Macaca mulatta: one gene and its partner. The protein of the gene in region 2 purifies or fractionates together with the protein of the main gene of each other region. This does not show direct contact. Links are inferred from orthologs where the notes say so. Each region holds a gene or a part of one and is shown on either strand. Other genes may lie near its edges.

The links. Proteins that work in one complex are often made in the same cells at the same time.
Region 1: the proteins of PEX1 (region 2) and PEX26 purify together in Homo sapiens (affinity purification with western blotting; 3 studies listed by BioGRID and IntAct, with this or other methods). This does not show direct contact. The link is inferred for Macaca mulatta from reciprocal best matches to the Homo sapiens genes PEX1 and PEX26.

What each region holds. Positions count from the first base shown.
Region 1 is NC_133415.1:33,995,590-34,006,377, forward strand, and holds the start of PEX26 (peroxisome assembly protein 26), read right to left. Parts: upstream 5,122-10,788; 5' UTR 4,750-5,121; coding exon 4,520-4,749; intron 3,248-4,519; coding exon 3,107-3,247; intron 1-3,106. UniProt on the Homo sapiens protein: Peroxisomal docking factor that anchors PEX1 and PEX6 to peroxisome membranes. PEX26 is therefore required for the formation of the PEX1-PEX6 AAA ATPase complex, a complex that mediates the extraction of the PEX5 receptor from peroxisomal membrane.
Region 2 is NC_133408.1:126,861,799-126,872,542, reverse strand, and holds the start of PEX1 (peroxisomal ATPase PEX1), read right to left. Parts: upstream 6,576-10,744; 5' UTR 6,551-6,575; coding exon 6,422-6,550; intron 3,349-6,421; exon of another isoform or gene 3,055-3,348; coding exon of another isoform or gene 3,031-3,054; intron 1-3,030. Other genes in the region: RBM48 (RNA-binding protein 48), read left to right, coding at 6,930-7,040, 7,594-7,784, 10,540-10,685. UniProt on the Homo sapiens protein: Component of the PEX1-PEX6 AAA ATPase complex, a protein dislocase complex that mediates the ATP-dependent extraction of the PEX5 receptor from peroxisomal membranes, an essential step for PEX5 recycling.

The DNA.
Region 1 (10,788 bases), on a different chromosome or scaffold from region 2:
GTGTAAAATCCGAAACTATGAAACTGCTAGAAGAAAGCAAAGGAGAAATGCCTCACAACCCTGGGCTGAGCAAGGGTTTTTTAAAGTAAGACCTTAAAAGCACTGGTAAGAAAAGCAAAAATGGACAAATGAAATTACATCAAACTAAAAACTTCTGCATAGCAAAGGAAGCAATTAAGAGTGAAGAAACAACCTACAGAATGGGAGAAAATATTTGCAAACTATCCATCTGACAAAGAGTTAATATCCAGAATATATCAGGAACTTAACAGCAGGAAAAAAAAAAAAAAACCTGATTCAAAAGGGAAAAAGACCTCAATAGACATTTCTCATTTCTCAGAAGAAGATGTACCACGGCCAACAGGTATCTGAAAAAATGTTCAACACCACTAATCACCAGGGAAATGCCAATCAAAACCACACTGAGACACTACCTCGCTCCAGGTAGAACAGCTCTTATTAAAAAGGCAAAAGAAAATCAGTGTTGGTGAGGGTGCGGATGTGGAGAAAGGGAGCACTTACACACTGCTAATAGGACTGTAAATTGGTATAGCCATTATGGAAACCAGAATGCAGGTTCCTTTAAAAAATTCAAAATAGGAAAGACGGCACTTCCTTTTGCAAGTGGTGGCAAGTGCTGAGAGAATGCCATGAAGGCCTTGGGCACACTGCAAGAGTATCTGCCGCCTGTTCACCCCCAAATGCTGCCCTTCTACTGCCAGCAAATCTCTGCACCTAAGCAAGTTGTTGCCAAGTCCCGCTTCTGGTACTTTGTATCTCAACTAAAGAAGATCAAGTCTTGGCCGGGCGTGGTGGCTCACGCCTGTAGTCCCAGCACTTTGGGAGGCCAAGGTGGGTGGATCATGAGGTAGGGAGTTCGAGACCAGCCTGACCAACATAGTGAAACCCCGTCTCTACTAAAAATGCAAAAAATTAGCCAGGCATGGTGGCGAGCACCTGTAATCCCAGCTACTAGGGAGGCTAAGGCAGGAGAATTGCTTGAACCCAGGAGGCAGAGGTTGCAGTGAGCCGCAGCCCGGGCAACAGTGCAAGACTCCATCTCAAAACAAAAAAAGAAGATGAAGTCTTCAGGGGCAAGTGTCTACTGGGCAGGTGTTCCAAAAATCCCCCTGCAAGTGAAGAACTTTGGCATTTGGCTACACTATGACGCTTACTGCAGCATCCACAATATGAATGCAGAATAGTGGGACCTGACCACCCAGTGCTACCAAGATGGGCACCTGGCACCATGACCAGGGCCTACACCATCTGGATCATGAAAGTGGAGGAGATTGCAGCCAGCAAGTGCCCCCGGCCGACAGTCAAGCAGTTCCACAATTCCGAGATCAAGTTCTTGCTGCCCTACCAGGTCCTGTGTCTTCAGCACAAGCCACATTCAACACCAAGAGTCCCAACACCTTCTTCTAGGTACAGGGAACTCTCACCGAGTGTCATCAAAATAAACTCAAGAATGGCCAGGTGGCCGGGCGCGGTGGCTCAAGCCTGTAATCCCAGCACTTTGGGAGGCCGAGACGGGTGGATCACGAGGTCAGGAGATCGAGACCATCCTGGTTAACACGGTGAAACCCCGTCTCTACTAAAAAATACAAAAAACTAGCCAGGCGAGGTGGCGGGCGCCTGTAGTCCCAGCTACTCGGGAGGCTGAGGCAGGAGATGGCGTGTACCCGGGAGGCGGAGCTTGCAGTGAGCTGAGATCCGGCCACTGCACTCCAGCCTGGGCGACAGAGCGAGACTCCGTCTCAAAAAAAAAAAAAAAAAAGAATGGCCAGGTGAACAAAACAAAAATAGAACTACCACATGATCTAGCAATCCATTATCTCCCATGTTTAATGCAGCACTGTTCACAATGGCCAAGATATGGAATCAGTCTAAGTGTCCAACAATAGATGAATGGATAAAGAGAGTGTGTGTGTGTGTGTGTGTGTGTGTGTGTGTGTGTGTGTGTGTGTAATGGAATACTATACAGCCATGAAAAAGAATGAAATCTTTTCATTCATGACAACGCAGGTGGACCTGGGGGACATCGGGTTAAGTGAAATAAGCCGGGCAGAGAAAGATAAATACTACACGATTTCACTCATGTGAATCTTTAAAAAAAAAAAAAAGTTGATATTATAGAAGCAGAGAGTAGAACAGTGGTTACCAGAGACTGGGAAAGGAAGAAAAGGGAGACAAAGAGGTTTGTCAATGGGTTCAAAGTTACGATGGGATAGGAGGAATAAGATGTGGTGTTCTATTGCATAGTAGGGTGGTTATAGTTAACAGTAAGGTATTGCATATTACAAAATAGCTGGAAAAGAGGCTTTTGAATGTTCTGATCACAAACAAATGATAAATGCATGAGGTGATGGATATCCCAATTACCCTGATTTGATCATTATACAACATATACACAGCATATATTGAAATGTCAAACTTACCCCAAAAATATGTACAATTACAAGTGTCAATTTTTAAAACTTTGCTTTTTTTGGCCAGGTATGGTGGCTCACACCTGTAATCCCAGCACTTTGGGAGGCCGAGGAGATCGAGAACGTCCTGGCTAACACGGTGAAACCCCATCTCTACTAAAAATACAAAAAAATTAGCCGGGCATGGTGGCAGGTACCTGTAGTCCCAGCTACTTGGGAGGCTGAGGCAGGAAAATGGCGTGAACCCAGGAAGCTGAGCTTGCAGTGAGCTGAGATCACGCCACTGCACTCCAGCTTGGGTAACACAGGGAGACTCCATCTCAAAAAAACAAAAAACAAAACAAAACAAAAAAACTTTTTTTTTTAAGAATTAGAAATTCCCAGGATGTAGCAAGCTGCTCTTTCAGCTCGGTCCACTCTGTCATCCCATGTCACTCCTATTCCCTGTCCCCTCCCTTCTTTATATCTATTCTACTCCTAAATTCCTCCTCCCTTATTCTTTATTGCTATGTATGGAACTCTAGGAAAAAAAGAAGAAGTGAAGGGAAAGAATTAGATGTGGAGGGCAATAGTAGGGAAGGGGAAAAGAGTAGGTATTAGGCCCAGATTGCGGAGAGGAGATGCAAATCCTCTTGTTTCTGAAATGATCTGATGAGTCAGCAAAGACGACTCACCACAGCTCCAGGACTTTGGGGGGTAGCTTTTCAGGGACCTGGTAATACTGAAGGACCCAGGAGAGGACTTCTTGCCACCGATCCATTTCTGCCAGGGCCTGGATCCCCACAACACACAGGGAGCACTTCACCTCCAAGGAGCTGTCAGCAGAAAAACCAATTTCAGTTAGAAGTGGTTCCCCTCCATTTCCATGCCCACCTCCACCTTGGGACTGTTCCTCTCCAGCTCCCAACTCAGCAGCCATCATCTCTCTCATCCCTGTTAGTACTTAGATGGGCTTCACAATTGGTCTCATGGGCTGCCCTTTCCCCCAGGAACTAAAAGTTCCTGTAAACCTCTTAAGAGGCAAGTCAGCTATTGCTCAACGTTCTTCTTTGTATCCAAGTGAAATCAGATTTAAATGAAGAGGAAGGGTAATCCTGAGGGGGAAATAACACGCATCACCGGTGTGTGGGACAAAAAAGAGCTGGAACTAAGTTTGCTCAGTGAACAAATGGGCTTGCAGCAAGGTTTCTGGCTGAATGGAGGTATAGCAACTCCACAGCTGGCTAAAAGACACCACCTAGTAAGGTTCCTCCAGACACCGAGAAGCAAAGCCTTCTGCATTCACTGAAATGAGCTTCCACCCAGTACCCTAAAACACAGCCAGGGCTCTCCAGATCATCCTTCTCTGCGGTCAGCTTTCGCTATTCTACCTAACACCTCCCTGGAGTGGCCTAACCCAACTTTACAATGCAAAGAAATGACGCTCTCACCTGCCAGACAAGGCTGGTGGCACTAGAAAGAGCAATGCAAGCCCAAGGTTTTTTTCTCCGGATTCTTTTCTTTTTCTTCTTTGTGCTAGAGAAGAGGGCTCATTATGTTACCCAGGCTGGTCTCGAACTCCTGGGTTCAAGCAATCCTCCTGCCTCGGCCTCCCAAAGTGCTGGGATTACAGGCGTAAGCCCCCGCGCGCCCGGCCCTGAATTAATTATTTAATCCATTCTTCCAATTGGACCAGAACACTGCTCCTGCCATGACCCCCATTCCCCATCATCCGCAAGGTCAGGAATAAACAACCTTGGGCGGGGCGGGGCGGGGCGGGGCGGAGGTACCTGGGAGAGGACTTTTACCACCTGCTTACTGACAGAACTTAGCACTTAATACACATTCAGCCTTCGCATCATGCCATTCTACCCTGGAACAAGGAGCAAATAATTGGCCGTGGGTTCGCCACTAAGCTCTTGTTATACGACTTCCCTCCTCTGTAGAATTGGCACACGATGAGCAACCACCCTGTCGGAGACAAACCACTGATGAAAGCGAGGTGTAAAGCTCCTTGTGGGCAATCTGGGAATGACAGAACTCCTGAGACCTTGGGCCCCACCATAAGAGCACCCGGAAATCGGTTCATTTCCGAGCCCAGCACGTACGTGCCCGCGGGTTCCTCTGGCAGGGCGTGGTTGGCCAGACTCTGCCAGGCCCGCTCGCAGGTCTCCAGCGCCGCCCGGAAGTCCAGGTGCACCACCAGGAGGTCGGCCGCCTCCTCCAGAAGGTCCACGGCCGGCGACCGGGCCGGGGCCGCGCGCACCGGCTCGCTGCTGCGCAGAGGTCCCCCAAGCCCCCTGAAGGGGGCTGCAGAGGTCGAGCAGTCGCTCTTCATAACGAGTCCGGGCCCAAGGCCCAGGTCCTCAGACGTCGGAGTGACCGCCTCCCCAGAGGCTCCGGGATATCCCGAGTTGGCCTGGGCGAAAAGGGAGAGTCCTCATCTCTGCCCACACCCCTTCCCGAGGTCGATTCCCCGAGAAGGAAAAGGAAGGGGCCTGAGGCAAAGGCAGGGCTCGCCTGGAGGCTGAGGAAGCAGTTTACATGTCGAATTTGCAGGATTCTTGCATCCTTGGAATACCTGGCCCTAGCGTCTCCGGCCCCGCGACACGTGCAGGAACTGCCTCAGCTCCGGGCGCCTGGTTACGGTCAAACACTCTCACCTCGCCTCCCAGCAGCGGGCGCGGACATCTTTGCGCTCGCCCCGCCCCGCAGCCGCACGGCGTCCCAGCGGCGCGGGGTACTCTAGGAGTTGTAGTTCCGCAGCTCCCGGCCCATCGGCTTCTATAACGGAAACAGGCGGGAGATTGTGGACTACAACCCCCAGCACGCCGCGCCCCGGAAGCCGCCCCTGTTCCGTGAGAAAACAAAGTGCGCTACAGCTTCGGAGTGGGGAAGTCAAAACAAAACAAAACTGAAGCTGTCTTGTGAAATGGAGGGATCTTCACTAACCAGTTCCAGCGGAGGCTAACGGAAGAAATGCCAGCAATGGATTTGCAAATACATGCACGCTTCCAATTCAGAGCTTCTGCGACGGCGGCGATCAGGGAATCTGTAATGTAATGTCAAGGCTGAGGCAGAGCTGATCACACATTTTGGCAACCTTAGTCTTGAATTAATTCACACTTTCTCCGCGTTGCCTCCATAGTTTGCTTTGGGAGAATAAATATTGCCTGGTGAGGATGAGGGACTTAGGGTGGAAACCTTCACAAGGATCACTGAGAATATGTTGGTCCCAAGGGCAGTGTTCCAAAGTGAATAGTGACCCCACCGACGCAGGGTTGGGGGCGCTGAGCATAAGGGCCTCATTTTCTCACTGCTTTGTACCCCACCCTGGATTTGTTGTTAGAAAACGTTAAATGCAGATACCAATTCTACCTCCCCACTGTTGTCACTTCCAATCTGTCCTTATTTTATATTTCTCGTTATCGTTTATCACCATCTACATACCAGTGTCTATATTTTACTTACTTTTTTTGTCTGTTTCCTTCCACTATGATACAAACTCACAAAGGCAGACGTTTTTGTCTCTTTTGTCACTGTGGGAACCTCAGCGCCTTGAACAGTGCGTGCCATCTATAGGTAGTCAAAAAGTATTTGTGGAATAAGTGAAGTTGTGGCTTCACTTTTATCTGGTTACAGAGTCCATACTTATCTTTCCTCGGAATCTGGTGGACTTGGTTCTGCCTCAGCTTCCCCTGCAGACTTTTCCGCAAGAGAACAGAAAGCCCAGAAGATGGATGTGTGTATGTCTGGTGACAAGGGTAGGGGATGTATGATGTGAGCAGGTGCCTGTCTAATTTCTAGGACAGCAAAAATTCTAGGGAAGCTTTGGAGAGAGTTCAAAGGGTAGAGAACTGGGGAGAAACTAAAGCCAAGAGGACCTAGTACAAAAGTGGGAAGCAAGGCAAAGCCCGAGTGAAACAGAATATAATAATGTGTGATTAGTGGATCTGTTTAAAATTATTATTATAGTTACAATTTACCACATACTCTGTTCCCAGTACTTTATTATAAAGTGCATTATGTATGGTATAGTTTTGTTTTTCACAATGTCCTTATCTTACATTGTGTAACTCACTCATGGAATGACTGTGCATGCCCTGAATAGAAAACATACTTAGTTCTGTCCCTGCAGAGCAGAGTAGGGCTCAATACACGCCTTTGAGCCAAAAGAGCCTCGGTTTGACTGAGATTTTGTCACTTACTAGTTGTGTGACCTCGGCAATTTATTTAAATGAGCTCCGATTTCCTCACCTGTACAATTGGGATAACAGTTTGTCCTTAGCTCCCGATGGCTGAGGGAAGAATTAAGTGAAATTGCGCACAAAGCGCCATGCGCGTTAAGCACTGAAAACTGTGAGCCAGGCCTGGGAAGACGGAACATGCTCAGAATCGGCCAGCCCTAAGTGGCTGCTGCCTGGGAAAGTCCCTTTCCTTAATTCCTAACAAATTTCTTGCTATTCCAAATTTGTCCAGGAGATGGACACACAGTCTTAAAAGAAGCAGCCTTGCTAAAAGTAAATTTGCCTATTTAGTAGTGAGACAGCCAGAATGAGGTCAAGATATTTAAGGCAGGAGAGAGGAGAGCTAGAAACCATGTAAAAATATGATTGTATTCCACTTCTGATTCACCCAATTTTCAACTATTCCCGGGCTTCGTATCTGTCCGTATGTAACCACTGTTTAGCACTATTATGCCCACAAATGGATTCCTCAACACACATCCATTGGGATACATCATCTCCTCTGTGTCTACAAGTACCTAGAATTTCTCAAGCAAAGACACAGAAATGCTAAACAGAAGCGAATTCATTCCCCCTGGGGGAACGTGAATGGGTATTGTCTTTACTTAGCCAACCTTCTCTCTCTAAGTTGGGGCTCATGGGACAGCCTTTGAAATCACCTCTTCTTCTCTCATTTCCTCATCCTTGAGATAAAAAACAGTGGAACTAAGGACAGCCCTTTCAGATGTTTAAGGCCAGGCCCATATTAATATTTGTATTGTTGCTCACGCCTGTAATCCCAGCACTTTGGGAGGCCAAGGCGGGCGGATCACGAGGTCAGGAGATCGAGACCATATTGGCTAACATGGTGAAACCCCATCTCTACTAAAAATACAAAAAAATTAGCCGGGCGTGGTGGCGGGCGCCTGTAGTCCCAGCTACTCAGGAAGCTGAAGCAGGAGAATGGCATGAACTCAGGAGGCGGAGCTTGCAGTGAGTGGAGATCCGGCCACTGCGCTCCAGCCTGGGCGACAGAGCAAGACTCCGTCTCAAAAAAAAAAAAAAAAAAAAAAAATGTCTTGTTTGAATTGCTTCGTTTTGGGAAAACTAGCAGAGCACCTGAGATGCCGGTATCCTCGTTGCGACCCCTTCCCTAGCCCTCCCTAGGCTCTGGAATTTGGGGTTGTTCCTTCTATTCGGCAGAGGGCTCAGTGTGGCTCCTTCATCTGAGGAAGCAGATTTGTTCAGCCTGCTGCCGCAGGGGATGAATTGTTGTTCTTGTAACAGAAAGCACACTGGACTGGAGATGACAGGCACAGTTAGAATCCTGGTTCCTTCAGGTGGGGCACAGTGGTTCATGCCTGTAATCCCAGCACTTTGGGAGGCCGAGGTGGGAGGATTGCTTGAGCTCAGGAGTTCAAGACCAGCCTGGGCAACATGGTGAAACCCTGTCTCTACAAAAATTACAAAAATTAGCCAGGCGTGGTGGCGCATGCCTATAGTCTCAACTGCGCAGAAGGCTGAGGTGAGAGGATGACTTGAGCCCAGGAGGTTGAGGCTGCAGTGAGCTGAGATCACACCACTGCACTCCAGCCTGGGAGACAGAGTGAGACCTTGCCTCAAAGAAAATAAATAAAAATTTTTAAAGAATAAAAATCCTGGCCGGGCGCGGTGGCTCAAGCCTGTAATCCCAGCACTTTGGGAGGCCGAGATGGGCGGATCACGAGGTCAGGAGATCGAGACCATCCTGGCTAACACGGTGAAACCCCGTCTCTACTAAGAAATACAAAAAATAGCCGGGCGAGGTGGCAGCGCCTGTAATCCCAGCTACTCGGGAGGCTGAGGCCGGAGAATGGCGTGAACCCGGGAGGCAGAGCTTGCAGTGAGCTGAGATCCAGCCACTGCACTCCAGCCTGGGCTACAGAGCAAGACTCCGTCTCAAAAAAAAAAAAGAATAAAAATCCTGGTTCCTTCAGTGACAAAGCCAGGTGACCTCTAGAAAGTCACCAGATTTCTATGTGCCTCAGTCGTCTCGTCTGAGGACACTAATACTAACACCTGCTGCATAGGGTGGCTGTGAAGAGCAGAAGAAACCATGTGACAGTCCACTGAACACTTGTCAATCACGGACTTGTTCAGGCTGATGTAAGGCAAGAAAGAAGAAAGAATTTCGGCCGGGCACGGTGGCTCATGCCTGTTATCCCAGCACTTTGGGAGGCTGAGGCGGGCAGATCACTTGAGGCCAGGAGTTCAAGACCAGCCTGGCCAACATGGTGAAAAACCATCTATACTAAAAATACAAAAGGGCCGGGCGTGGTGGCTCAAGCCTGTAATCCCAGCACTTTGGGAGGCTGAGACAGGAGGATCACTTGAGCCCAGGACTTTGAGACCAGCCTGGGAGCAAAGCGAGACCCCATCTGTATTGAAAAATGTTTTCTAATTAGCTGGTCATGGTGGCACGTGCCTTGTAGTCCCAGCTACTTGAGAGGCTGAGGCAGGAGGATCGCTTGAGCACAGGAGTTCAAGGCAGCAGTAAGCTATGATGCGCCACTGCACTAGAGCCTTCGAGCCTGGGTGACAGAGCAAAACCCTGTCTCAAAAACTAAAAAGCATACATCTGAGGTCAACCTAGCCTGTGTTGCCTTCTCCACACTGGTTCCACATTTCAGGCCAATAAACAGCATCCACAGCTGCCCCATCGAACATCCCAACCAGCCAGAACCCCTCCGTACAGAGACATCTGTGGCAAAGCTCTGCATGCAATAGGTTCAGACCAAGTGGGGACCTTTGGCCAGAAGCGAGCCGAGGAGATAAGTATAGGTGGGGTGGAGATATGTTTTTCCAGGATGGTCAAGGCATGCCTCGCTTGCTCCAGACGTTCATCAGTGGGATGGCATTTTTATGGCTCTTTTTTAAAGCCTGGACTAGGAGTTCAGGGCAGAACTCGTTGCTGCCTCTAGTGTTCCTCTCCATGTAGACACAGCAGAACTCTGCTTCTGTGTCTAAGAAGTGACCATCATAATCGTCCTGTATAGCACTTTACAACAATAATAGTGATGGCTCAATTTATATAGTATGATATTGACTATGCAGTAGGTGTTTTTCTGAGTGCTTTATTTATTTATTTAGTTAGTTATTTGAGACAGGGTCTCTCTGTGTTGCTCAGGCTGGAGTGCACTGGTGTCATCACAGCTCACTGCAGCCTCAACCTCCCGGGCTCAAGCGATCCTCGTAACTCAGCCTCTGAGTAGCTGGGACTACAGGCACATGCCACCACGCCTGGATAATTCTTTAATTGTTTGTAGAGACGGGGTCTCACTATGTTGACCAGCTTGTCTTGAACTCCTGGGCTCAAGGAATCCTCCTGCCTCAGCCTCCCAACGTGTTGGGATTACAGGTGTGAGCCACCACACCTGGCCTGAGTGCTTTACATTTAACTCATTTGAATCCTTATAACTATATGATGGAAGCCCTAGGCTCACTCTTATTTTGTCAAGGAAGAAACTGAGTTATGGGGAGGTTAAATAACTTGCCCAAGGTCACCCAACAAGTGCATAGTGGAGCTGGGGGAGGTGCGGGGACTTAATCCGGGCCACTGGGCTCTAGTCTTTCTTCTTAATTAGTATAATACTGGATCTACAAGGTACTATTGCTCGTCTTATTTGACCTTGAAAGCAAACCTGTGAACAAGGTCATATGGGTATATTATTATTATTATCCCTATGGATAGATGGGCAATGAAAGCTTGGAAACTCTGCCCAAGTTTAAAATCCATGGTTTCAATGGAAAAGCTGGGAAGGAGGTTTCTTACCAGATCCCATGCCCAGGGGCCATGCTTCAAAGGGCCTCCACAGCTCTTCTTCATCTGCCTTGAAGGTGACTTCAGGAGCCCCTCCGTTTCTTACCTACCCCAGGAGTCAGAAGATGCCCTCAGAGAAGGCTGAACAAACCTTCATGATGACAGACCAATTCATTCCCTCTCCAAGCCTGAGGAATGAAACCAGTAATGGGTGTGCACTGGGGATAATTCAGCCCTGGCTCTATTGTGGAAGGATATAAAGATGCTCTTCCCTCCCAGAGTCTTTCCTGATCCTACCTAATTCAGGCGAATCACTCTTTCCCAATCGTGCTCTGCTTTTTTGATGCCTCAC
Region 2 (10,744 bases):
GAGGAAAAAAGGTTTTCATATACATTTTTCTGGATTCACATGAAAATAAACTATTATTTCAATTCACACATACAAAGAGAGTTCTATAGATAGTTCTCTGTTATCTACATTTGTTGTAGCATTTAAAAATCTATAATCATTTCCAACATCCAATGCTGGTGATGCTAATGAAGCCAATACCCTTATATTCTTATGGCAGTGTTATAAATTTAATCAACCCTTTCAGAATTCAAAATGGCAGCAGTCAGTCAATACACTTACATAGCAGTTGAGCCACATATAATTATTTGAGCATTTATTCCCAATTAATTATTCAAAGAAAAAAGAAACTACAGCAAAAGCTATCTGTGCAGTATTTTCTATAATAGTAAACACTTGAGACTGTCTTAAATGTCTATCAATAGGGAAACTATTAAATAAGCTATAAATTTACTAGTTTAACATAAGTTAATAAGTAGAAACATATATCATCTTTAAAAATGTAGCAATATAGTTTTAGAATTATGAAACACCAACCAGATGGAGTATGCAATCCATATTTACTTATTTATTGGAATAACAATAAATGCATGTGGCAAAAGCACAAGATGTACAAAAGGGTAAAATGTAAGGGTAAAATGTGAAGCCATGTCCCTGTTCTCAGAGGTAATTACTGCTGTTTCTTCTGTACCCTTCCAGAAACATTATATTATGCAGCCTCTTAATAATTTTAAGGGCTCATATAACTATGGGAATATAGGTTTTAAACAAAGCAAAATATAACATTTATTCTCATTAAAAGAGCAATTACATAAAACCTGTGTTTGTGGCCAAGGACCAAAAAAGGGTTTTCTATGATTAAACAATTACAAACTCATTATAGAGACCTTGGAAAATATATAAACTTGGAAGGAAACAAATGAACTACTGATATTCTCTCCACAAAAAAGACAACCATGTGAACAATTTGGTCTATTTCTTGTTAATCCTTTTTTCTATGTGCAAGTTTTTCATATAGTTGTGTTCATATAGGCACAATTTAATATCCTTTTCCCCTACTTATATTGCATCATAAGCATTTTCAAACTTTTTTTTTTTTTTTTGGAGACAGGATTTTGCTCTGTTGCCCAGGCTGGAGTGCAGTGGCACAATCATAGGTCACTGTAACTTGAAACTCCTGGGCTCTAGCAATCCTCTCACCTCAGGCTCCTGAGTAGCTAGGAATACAGGCATACACCACCACACCTAGCTAATTTTTTTTTTTCTATAGAGATGGGATCTCACTATGTTGCTTAGGCTGGTCTTAAGCTCCTGGCCTCAAGTGATCCTCCCACCTCGGCCTCCCAAACTGTCGGGGGCTTGAGCCACCATGCCCAGCCACATATATCATTTATAAAATAAAAAGAATTTTATTAATATGTATCAATAATAAATTTTAAAAACCAGCCAGGTGTGGTGGCATACACCTGTGGTCCCATCTACTTGGGAAGCCAAGGTGGGAGGATCACTTGAGTCAGGAAGGTTGAGGCTACAGTGAGTCATGATAGTGCCATTACACTCCAGCGTGGGCAACAGAGTAAGAACCCATCACACACACAAAAAGACTTATTATATCAGGAAGCTTCAGTGTTATTAATTTATTTATATCAAAATAAATTCATTAAGTTAAAAATATTAGGCCAGGCGCAGTGGCTCACATGTGTAATCTTTATACTTTGGGAGGCTAAGACAGGAGGACTGTTTGAGCCCAGAAGTCCAAAGCCAGCCTGGGCAACATGGCAAGATCTATATCTCTACAGAACATTTTTCATTAATTTAAAATATCAAATTCTTTCATTTACATGGAATTTTTTTTCCTGAGACAGGATCTCACTGTGTTGCCCAGGCTCGAGTGCAGTGGCACAATCACAGCTCACTGCAGCCTCAACCTCCTGGGCTCAAGTGATCTTCCCACCTCAGTCCTCAATCTCTCAAAGTGCTGGGATTACAGGCATGAGCCAACACGCCCAGTCTTTATGTTTCTTGTGTTTCTTTTTTTTTTTTTTTGAGACGGAGTCTCGCTGTGTCACCCAGGCTGGAAGGCAGTGGTGCAATCTCGGCTCACTGCAACCTCCGCCTTCCAGATTTGAGCAATTCTCCTGCCTCAGCCTCCCAAGTAGCTGGGACTACAGGCCCCCACCACCATGCCCAACTAATTTTTGTATTTTTAGTAGAGACGGGGTTTCACCATGTTGGCCAGGCTGGTCTCAAACTCCTGACCTCAGGTGAAATGCCCACCTCTGCCTCCTACAGTACTGGGATTACAGATATGAGCCACCGCAGCCAGTTTATGTTTCTTTATATGAGACAAATTTCAAACAATGTTGGAGTCACTTCTGGGACAATATCACGTACTGGAAATTAAACACATTATTACACTTTTATATTTAAGAAAGCCATCATCATGTATCACTTAGTTGTGTAATTTTTCTCACAATTTTCACAAAACAGTCCAACTGTTCTGGCTGACAAATTCTTTCAACTGAGTGTATTTTGCCTAGCTTTGGAATCAAAAGTCTTCAGTTACTATGTCAGCTGTAACTGTGTGAGCTATTACAAGAATGAAGGTGATCAAGTCCCAGATACTTTCTGTGGGTTTTCATCCGAGTCAGCAATACATAATCCAGATCAATTCTACTTCATATGAAGAAACTTAAGAGATGGAAATACGAGAGATGCCCTGAAATATCAAAAAAAGGAAACTCTACCAGCTCACTGAAAAAAAGGAGAAATGAACATTATTGAGGAGGAAAAATACTTCTAATTATTTATTTGGTCAAAAAGGAGTAACCAGCTCCATAAAGTCATAATATGTACTCAGTTAGATTTAGCAAACTTTGCACACCAATGTTCTAATTTTTATGTCAAAATACTTCACTTGAACCACAGAGCCCTGGCTATTCAGGTAAAGAGAAGAAAGAGACAGCTAGAAAGGAGCCTCTTTCCCAGGAGTCAAATCAAATCAATCAATTAATTGACCTTCTTTGACCCAAACTGAGGTATCAGTATTACCAGGAAATCTGCAGGTAAAACCATCCGTCAGAATGCCTTAGGAATGTCCAGGTCCAAAGCCTGGGGTATCTCTTGCTAACACAAGGGAAATGAAAATTGTGTGGCCATATCCGAACGGTGATTTAGGTTCGTTTGCATTCACTGTGTATATGAATCCTCTCTCTCTGTTGCAATCACATCAAGTTCTGAGTACAGAGAAGGTAACTTAGCTGAAGCAGTGGTCTCAACCAGAGGTGATTTTGTCCTTCAGTAGGCATCTGACAATGTCTGAAGACCTTTCTGGTTGTCACAAATAGGGGGAGGCAGTACAGGCATCTACTGGATAGAGACCAAGGGTGCTGTTAAACATTTAAAATGTACAGGAGAGCCCCCAAAACAAAAAATTATCCAGCTCAAAATGTCAACAGTGCCAAGGTTGAGAAATCCTGACTTCAAGCATCTACTGGGGAGTCAGTCCTGAAATAATGACTTGAGTAAACAAGAGAATACAATACTTGAAACATAGAACAAAGTATATCAAATGTGATGTGTCACGTAACACAATAGAGAAGTATTGAAAGGGAGACAAACGTGGGCAACAGAGAACTGGAAAGCTATGTGGAGGAGGTAGGATTATACTCTTTTCAAAGACATGGAATTTGTATGGAAGGAAGAAAAACGACTGAGGGAAGAATGGCATGAGTAAGAGAACAGAAGTGGGAAGGAGATTGGTTATAGAAGAAACGGTGAGAAGGGTAGGTTGGGTGACGCAGAGTGAGCTATAGACAAGAGGGCAAATTAGCTGCATGGCAATGGTACTGGCCTAGGAATGCCATTTTCCTTACGTGTAAACGTACAGAAACAACCTAGATGCTTAAGGTCTCTATGGTCATTAACATTCTATGATTCTAGGACAGTAGGTCTCAACTCTTTTGTGCATCCAAGTAGCCTGAATAAATTTTTTAAAATTAGAGATGCCTAAAGTCTATTCCCTAAGATTTTGATTTAATAGGTCAGAGGGTTGATCACAACATCTGTATTCTTTTTTTTTTTTTTTTTTTTTTGAGACGGAGTCTCACTCTGTCGCCCAGGCTGGAGTGCAGTGGCGCGATCTCGGCTCACTGCAAGCTCCGCCCCCTGGGTTCACGCCATTCTCCTGCCTCAGCCTCCCGTGTAGCTGGGACTAGAGGCGCTCGCCACCACGCCCAGCTAATTTTTTTTTTTTTGTAGTTTTAGTAGAGACGGGGTTTCAGCGTGTTAGCCAGGATGGTCTTGATCTCCTGACCTCGTGATCCGCACGTCTTGGCCTCCCAACAGAACATCTGTATTCTTAAAAGCTTCAAGGTAAGTCTGACATAAGCCAGAAAACCATTGTTCCAACCCCTCTTCCCATTACTGCATGATCTGTATTATGTACTCAATGTTTCACCCCAAATAAAATAATTCAAGTATTAACTCCCAATTTGTGAACCTTTCGGCTTTCATAATTATCTATGGCCTCTAACCCAAGAATTCTGGGAATCTATCCTAGACAACAAGAAATAAAAATGATGTTTTCTAAACAAAGATGTGTTATTTTCAACGTTTGATTAAAATATAGTTTATCACTTCTAATGCCTAAAAATTAAGTACAATCTAAATAGTCAATCATAGTGAACAGTTAAATAAATTATGGCAAATTTGTGCTAGAATACTAATTAACAACTTAAAAAGATGACCTTTTAACAAAATAAAACACTCATAATAACATTAAGTAAAAACACTAGGACACAAAACTGTATGTGTGTATATAGGACTTCATTTCTGTTAAAAATGAAGATTAGAAACAAAACTGGAAGATTTGATCCAAACTGTCAACATTAGTCACCTCTAAGTTCTGGGATTACGGGTAATTTATTTTCCTGTTAACAATTTTCCATGCTTTCTAAATTTTCTACAAAACATAAATTATATAAATTTATATAATTCATCAAGAAATAAATGTATAGATTTATAGAATCTATAAAGTCATAAACTTATTACATTGATAATTAGAAAGCAAAGTTGACCTATTCTGCTAATATGGGCTGAACAGAAACAGCAATTTGTTCCAGGGCTAAAGACATTTACATTTCAAAAAGATATGCATGAATTAGTTCCTATAAGTACTTCTTGAAGGCTCAAAATTTAAAACAAGATCAAGACCACTAAATTCTTAAATAGTGACGAATGTAAGGTAACATGAATTAATTCTTATAAATACTTCTCGAAGGCTCAAAATTTAAAACAAAGATCAAGACCACTAAATTCTTAAACAGTGATGAATGTAAGGTAACAACTACATCTTAGGATCAAATTAGAGTTACTGTAAGAAAGCATTCCTACTATCATGAGTGGATTTGAAAACATGTTGAAAAATCCCATCGAAGCTGACAGAGCACTGAACCAACTTCTACCTGGAACTTGGTGACAGTGACTGATTTGTCTCTAACCATAAAGCCCATCAAAAACCAAGATTGTCTACTTAGTAGTAAAAAATAATAACGACGATGATAGGAGGATTCTGCTGAACTCATGTTTTCAATGGACCAAAAAAATCTTCCCCTAGGTATGGAGAAGTAACTCAAGTGGAAAGAAGGGATGCTTGAAATTATTGCAAACTCTTTATTCATTACATAGATTAGCCACTGGTGGGTACCATGCATCCAGGATTTATGAAGATTTCAAATACGCCGTCCTTTTGCCCCCATAACCACACTCAAACTCGTGAGACCATGTGCCTCTATTTTTAATTACGAAAATAAGGACGCTGTATCTCCACCGGTGGTTAGAACTGCGAAACATCCCAACCACAACGTCCAGAAGGGCGACTGATCGCAGAGCTTCAAGTGATCTTAACTACGTTATGTGTTCCTGACACACTACAGCTGTGTTCCGAGGGTCTGGGACGCAGGGCAGAACCATTACTGTATTAAGCTTTCCCGCTCATGGGACGCGGTGCTCAGTCCCCGGGGACCGACAGGGGCTCCACCAACAACTCTGCGCCTCCCTCTCGCGGCCCGGACGGCAGCAGCGCAGGTAACTGGAAATGACTGGCAAGAAAAGCACCTTTTAAAATAACAAAAACAAACCACTTATCAGGAACTTTTCCAGCCTGGAATGAGGAATATTTATAAAAACAGTGGTAGAATATTAGGACATTTCTAGGCCCAGTTTCACCAAGTGAAAAGACCTGGGATAAGACGAGCCCAGGGCTGCACTGGACTTGCGGGATGCAGAGACTAACCAGAAGGGCCCTGCCGTCGAGGGACCCTAATCTCTGTACGCTTCGGGGGCGCCCGGGTGGCAGCCGGTGTCCCGCCGCGTCCCTGAGAGGCTTCGGCCTTGTCCGACCCCAGGCTGAAGATCAGGTGGCCCGGGGCCAGCACGTTACCTGCAGCAGGTGCAGCTGGGCCACGAGACCCCGCGGCAGGTGGAGGAAGCAGTCGCGAGCGTTGGTGAAGGCCACAGTCACTGCCGCCCCGCCTCCCCCAGCACCCGCCAGGCGATCGCTGCCCCACATCGTCCCGAAGCGTCGCTCTGGGTTTGCCCACCCTAGCGCCGCAAAGGACACGGGACCTGGCAGGCCGAGGACGTCGGAACCGGAGGAGATCGATCGGCCCCGCCCCCTGAGGCCCCGCCCCCTCTCCCCGCTGCGCGTCTCGCCGTAAGCCTGTAGTGGGGTGGGACAAGAAAGCTTCTGTCACCCACCGCGCCTCTCCGCCAAGCCGCTCGGGGGCGGCACCTCGTTCATCAAATCCTCGCACGCAGGAAACGATGGCCGACGCTGTCGATTCTTCAGCCAATCCTGACACTCCTTAACTCATCCCGCTCTCTTATTGGATAAAAGGGAGGTCAGCAGGGCGGATGTTGTCCTCCCTGCGAGGATCAAAGTAGGCAAGATGGCGTCCAGCGGTGGGGAGTTAGGGAGTTTATTTGACCACCACGTCCAGAGGGCGGTGTGCGACACGCGGGCCAAATATCGGGAGGGACGACGGCCTCGTGCTGTCAAGGTAAAGTGATTTTTGGTTTCATTCGCTCTCCTCGGTAGCTTTTTGTGAGCGCTAGCGCCATATGGCTAACCTACGGAAATAAAGGCACGACAAGGCTTCCGTCAGATCTGTCGCTCATTAGAGCTGGCGTGAAGAACCCTGGGCCAGGTACCAAAGATTCTCACGACCCTTTTGGTCAACTATTAGAACATCAACTCCACGAGAATAGGGCTTGGTTTTAGTCATTGGATCTTCAGTGTTTACAGTACTACTTGGCACAGGTAAGCGCTCAGTGAATATTCGTTGAGTGATTGTTCCCAGTGACTTCTGCCGACTCAATTTCTGGAAAAAAATGTCGACTGAAGGTAGTCTGTTATATGCCTTAGGTAGCCTCTCACATGGACTGTTACTCTTTATGCAGAGGGAATGGCAGAAATTTTATTTTGTGTTTTTTGCTGACTGGGTTGAACAGATTATTTCTTGTTTTCAAAGTTCTGTTTAAAAAAAAAAATAGAGGCAGATTCGTCCTAGGCTTATTTGCGAAATACGTTTAATAACTATGCATTTCTTTCAGGTATATACAATCAATTTGGAATCTCAGTACTTATTAATACAAGGAGTTCCTGCTGTGGGAGTCATGAAGGAATTAGTTGAGCGATTCGCTTTATATGGTGCAATTGAACAGTACAATGCGCTAGATGAATACCCAGCAGAAGACTTTACTGAAGTTTATCTTATTAAATTTATGAACTTACAAAGTGCAAGGTAAGGTGCAAGTTAAGCAATGACTCGTTTCATTTCCTCCATTCATATTTCTGTCATTTTGGCCCCAAGTTTCCCTCATTCATATCTGAATTACCCCAAAATGTAATCTAGCATATCTTCCTACAGCCTTTTTACAGGTTAACTTTACTGAAACACTGTATCCATCACATCCCATGCTTAACAATTTAATGTCCTGTAGCGTGGTAGAGTAAAAGTTGGGTTTGGCCAGGCACGGTGGCTTACGCCTGCAATCACAGCACTCTGGGAGGCCGAGGCAGGCGGATCACGAGGTGAGGAGTTTGAGACCAGCCTGGCCAACATGGTGAAACCCCGTCTCTACTAAAAATACAAAATTAGCCGGGTCTAGTGGCGCATACCTGTAATCCCAGCTACTCAGGAGGCTGAGGCAGGAGAATTGCTTGAACCCAGGAGGCAGAGGTTGCAGTGAGCCGAGATTGCGCCATTGCACTCCAGCCAGGGCAACAAGAGGGGATCTCCGCCTCAAAGAAAAAAAAAATGGGTTTGAGGGCTGGGCGCCAATAACTCACGCCTCACGCCTGTAATCAGAGTACTTTGGGAGACCGAGGCAGGCAGATCACTTGAGGTCAGGGGTTCAAGACCAGCCTGGCCAACATGATGGAAACCCCGGCTCTACTAAAAATACAAAAATTAGCTGGGTGTGGTGGTGCAGACCCGTAGTCCCAGCTACTCAGGTGGCTGAGGCATGGGAATCGCTTGAACCCGGGAGGTGGAGATTGCAGTGAGCAGAAATCACACCACTGCACTCCAGCCTGGATGACAGAGCGAGGCTCTGTCTCAAAAAAAAAAAAAAAAAACAGAAAAAATTTGGGTTTGGCGCCAGGCATGTGGCTCACACCTGTAATCCCAGCAGTTTGGGAGGTGGAGGTAGGCGGATCACCTGAGGTCAGGAGTTCAAGACCAGTCTGGCCAACATGGTGAAACCCTGACTCTACTAAATACAAAAATTAGCTGTGTTGGTGCAAGCCTTTAATCCCAGCTCCTGGGGAGGCTGAGGCACAAGGATCACTTGAACCCAGAAAGTAGAGGTTGCAGTGAGCCAAGATCATGCCATTGCACTCCAGCCTGGAAAGAGTGAGACTGTCCCAGAAAAAAAGAAAAGAAAAGAAAAAAAAGTTGAATTTGATCCCAGCACTATGGAAGGCCAAGGTGGGCAGACAGCTTGAGCCCAGGAGTTCGAGACCCGACTGGCCAACATGGCAAAACCTCACCTCTGCTAAAAATACAAAAATCAAGGTGGGCGTGGTAGTGCATTCCTGTAGTCCCAGCTACTTGGGAGGCTGAGGTGGGAGAATCAGTTGAGCCCAGGAGGTGGAGGTTGCAGTGAGTCATTTATGGACCACTGCACTCCATCTTGGGTGATGGAGTGAGACTATGTCTCAAAAGAAAAAAAAATGTTGGGTTTGGAGTAAGTTTTCCATTTCCACTGCTTACTAGCTTTGTGATCTTGGACAAGTTATTTAACCTGTTTAAGTTTTTCCTGTTCCGTAAAATCTATATGGTAAAGGGACCTATCTACTTCTTGAGGTTGTATGAGGATGAAATGAGATAATCCATATAAAGGGTTTAGCAGAGTGCCTCCTGGTCAGAATACAGTAAGCATTAGCTATTGTGGTTTCTACTGTTACTCCTTTCTGCAAATTGACTCAGTGTTTTCCGGCCTTCTATGTGACATAAACCCTCTGCTCCAAAAAGGCTGAAGTATGCAATGCCTTATCTATTTTTATGTTGATCTCTGTTCTCCTCACTAATCTGCTCTGAGACCCATCCTTCTCTGGCTGTTACAATTCATATTTTCTTTCATGTGCTATCAGTAGAAATCATAATCTACCACAAAAGCACTTGATTTTACTGGGTCATGTGTGGTTTTCTCAGGCTGCTGTTATATGTAATCTCACTTTCTTAACCAATCTGCCAGCTGTCATGGTTAGAGAAATATTTTCTCGAGCTTTTCTGTTTTCCAAAGTACCTAGTCTAGTAGGCTCTGAAGTAAGACATCTGGATTTGAATCCTTGCTCCTCAAACCAGAGTATGAGCATGGCTAAGTTATGTAATGTCCCAGTGCTTCTGTTTCATTACAGGGTTGTTGTTAGGTGTTAATTCAAGTGAAGCACTTACAACATTGCCTGGCATATGGTAAAATCTGAGCAAGTATTTGTCATTATCCCTGGATACAGAAGTAGTTAAATTTATTGTAGTACCTGGCCAATCATAGATGTTTAGTAAGTATTTATTGACTGAATAACATTCTTCTCATTTTCTCATTGTTATATGTTTAATAGTTCCTCAGTTATTGAACGTTTTATGATTATAGTATTTTTCATCTGATTTTTAAGGCAAGAATCCCATTACAGAAATACATTGTGCTGAAAAAGCTTAATTGGGTATGAAGTAACTCTTCAGGGCCACAGAGAAAAGCTCTATTTTATGACCACAGTTTATATACTTCAGGCCAACCAGCTGGGTCTTTAGTTGTTTAAAGACTAGGGAACAAAGAGGCTCGAAGGGAAGAAAAGGGGAGGCTCTAAGTACATACTCGAACAATGGGATGAATACTGTCCACAAGCAGAGCATCTTAATTGCCAATCCACAGGATATATATACACATAGCAAAAGTTGGACTTTGCTCTTTAGATCCAGATATTGTATACTAGTTAAGCTTTCATCCCAAGTAAATCTAGATTAAAAAACCATGCTATCTTATATTTCCATTCAGGACAGCCAAGAGAAAAATGGATGAACAGAGTTTCTTCGGTGGATTGCTTCATGTGTGCTATGCGCCAGAATTTGAAACAGTTGAAGAAACTAGAAAAAAACTACAAGTGCGGAAGGCATATGTAGTAAAAACTACTGAAAATAAAGGTATGGAAAGCATATTGCTAAATGCCTCCTGTATGTCAGGTACTCTGCCAGGTGTATCA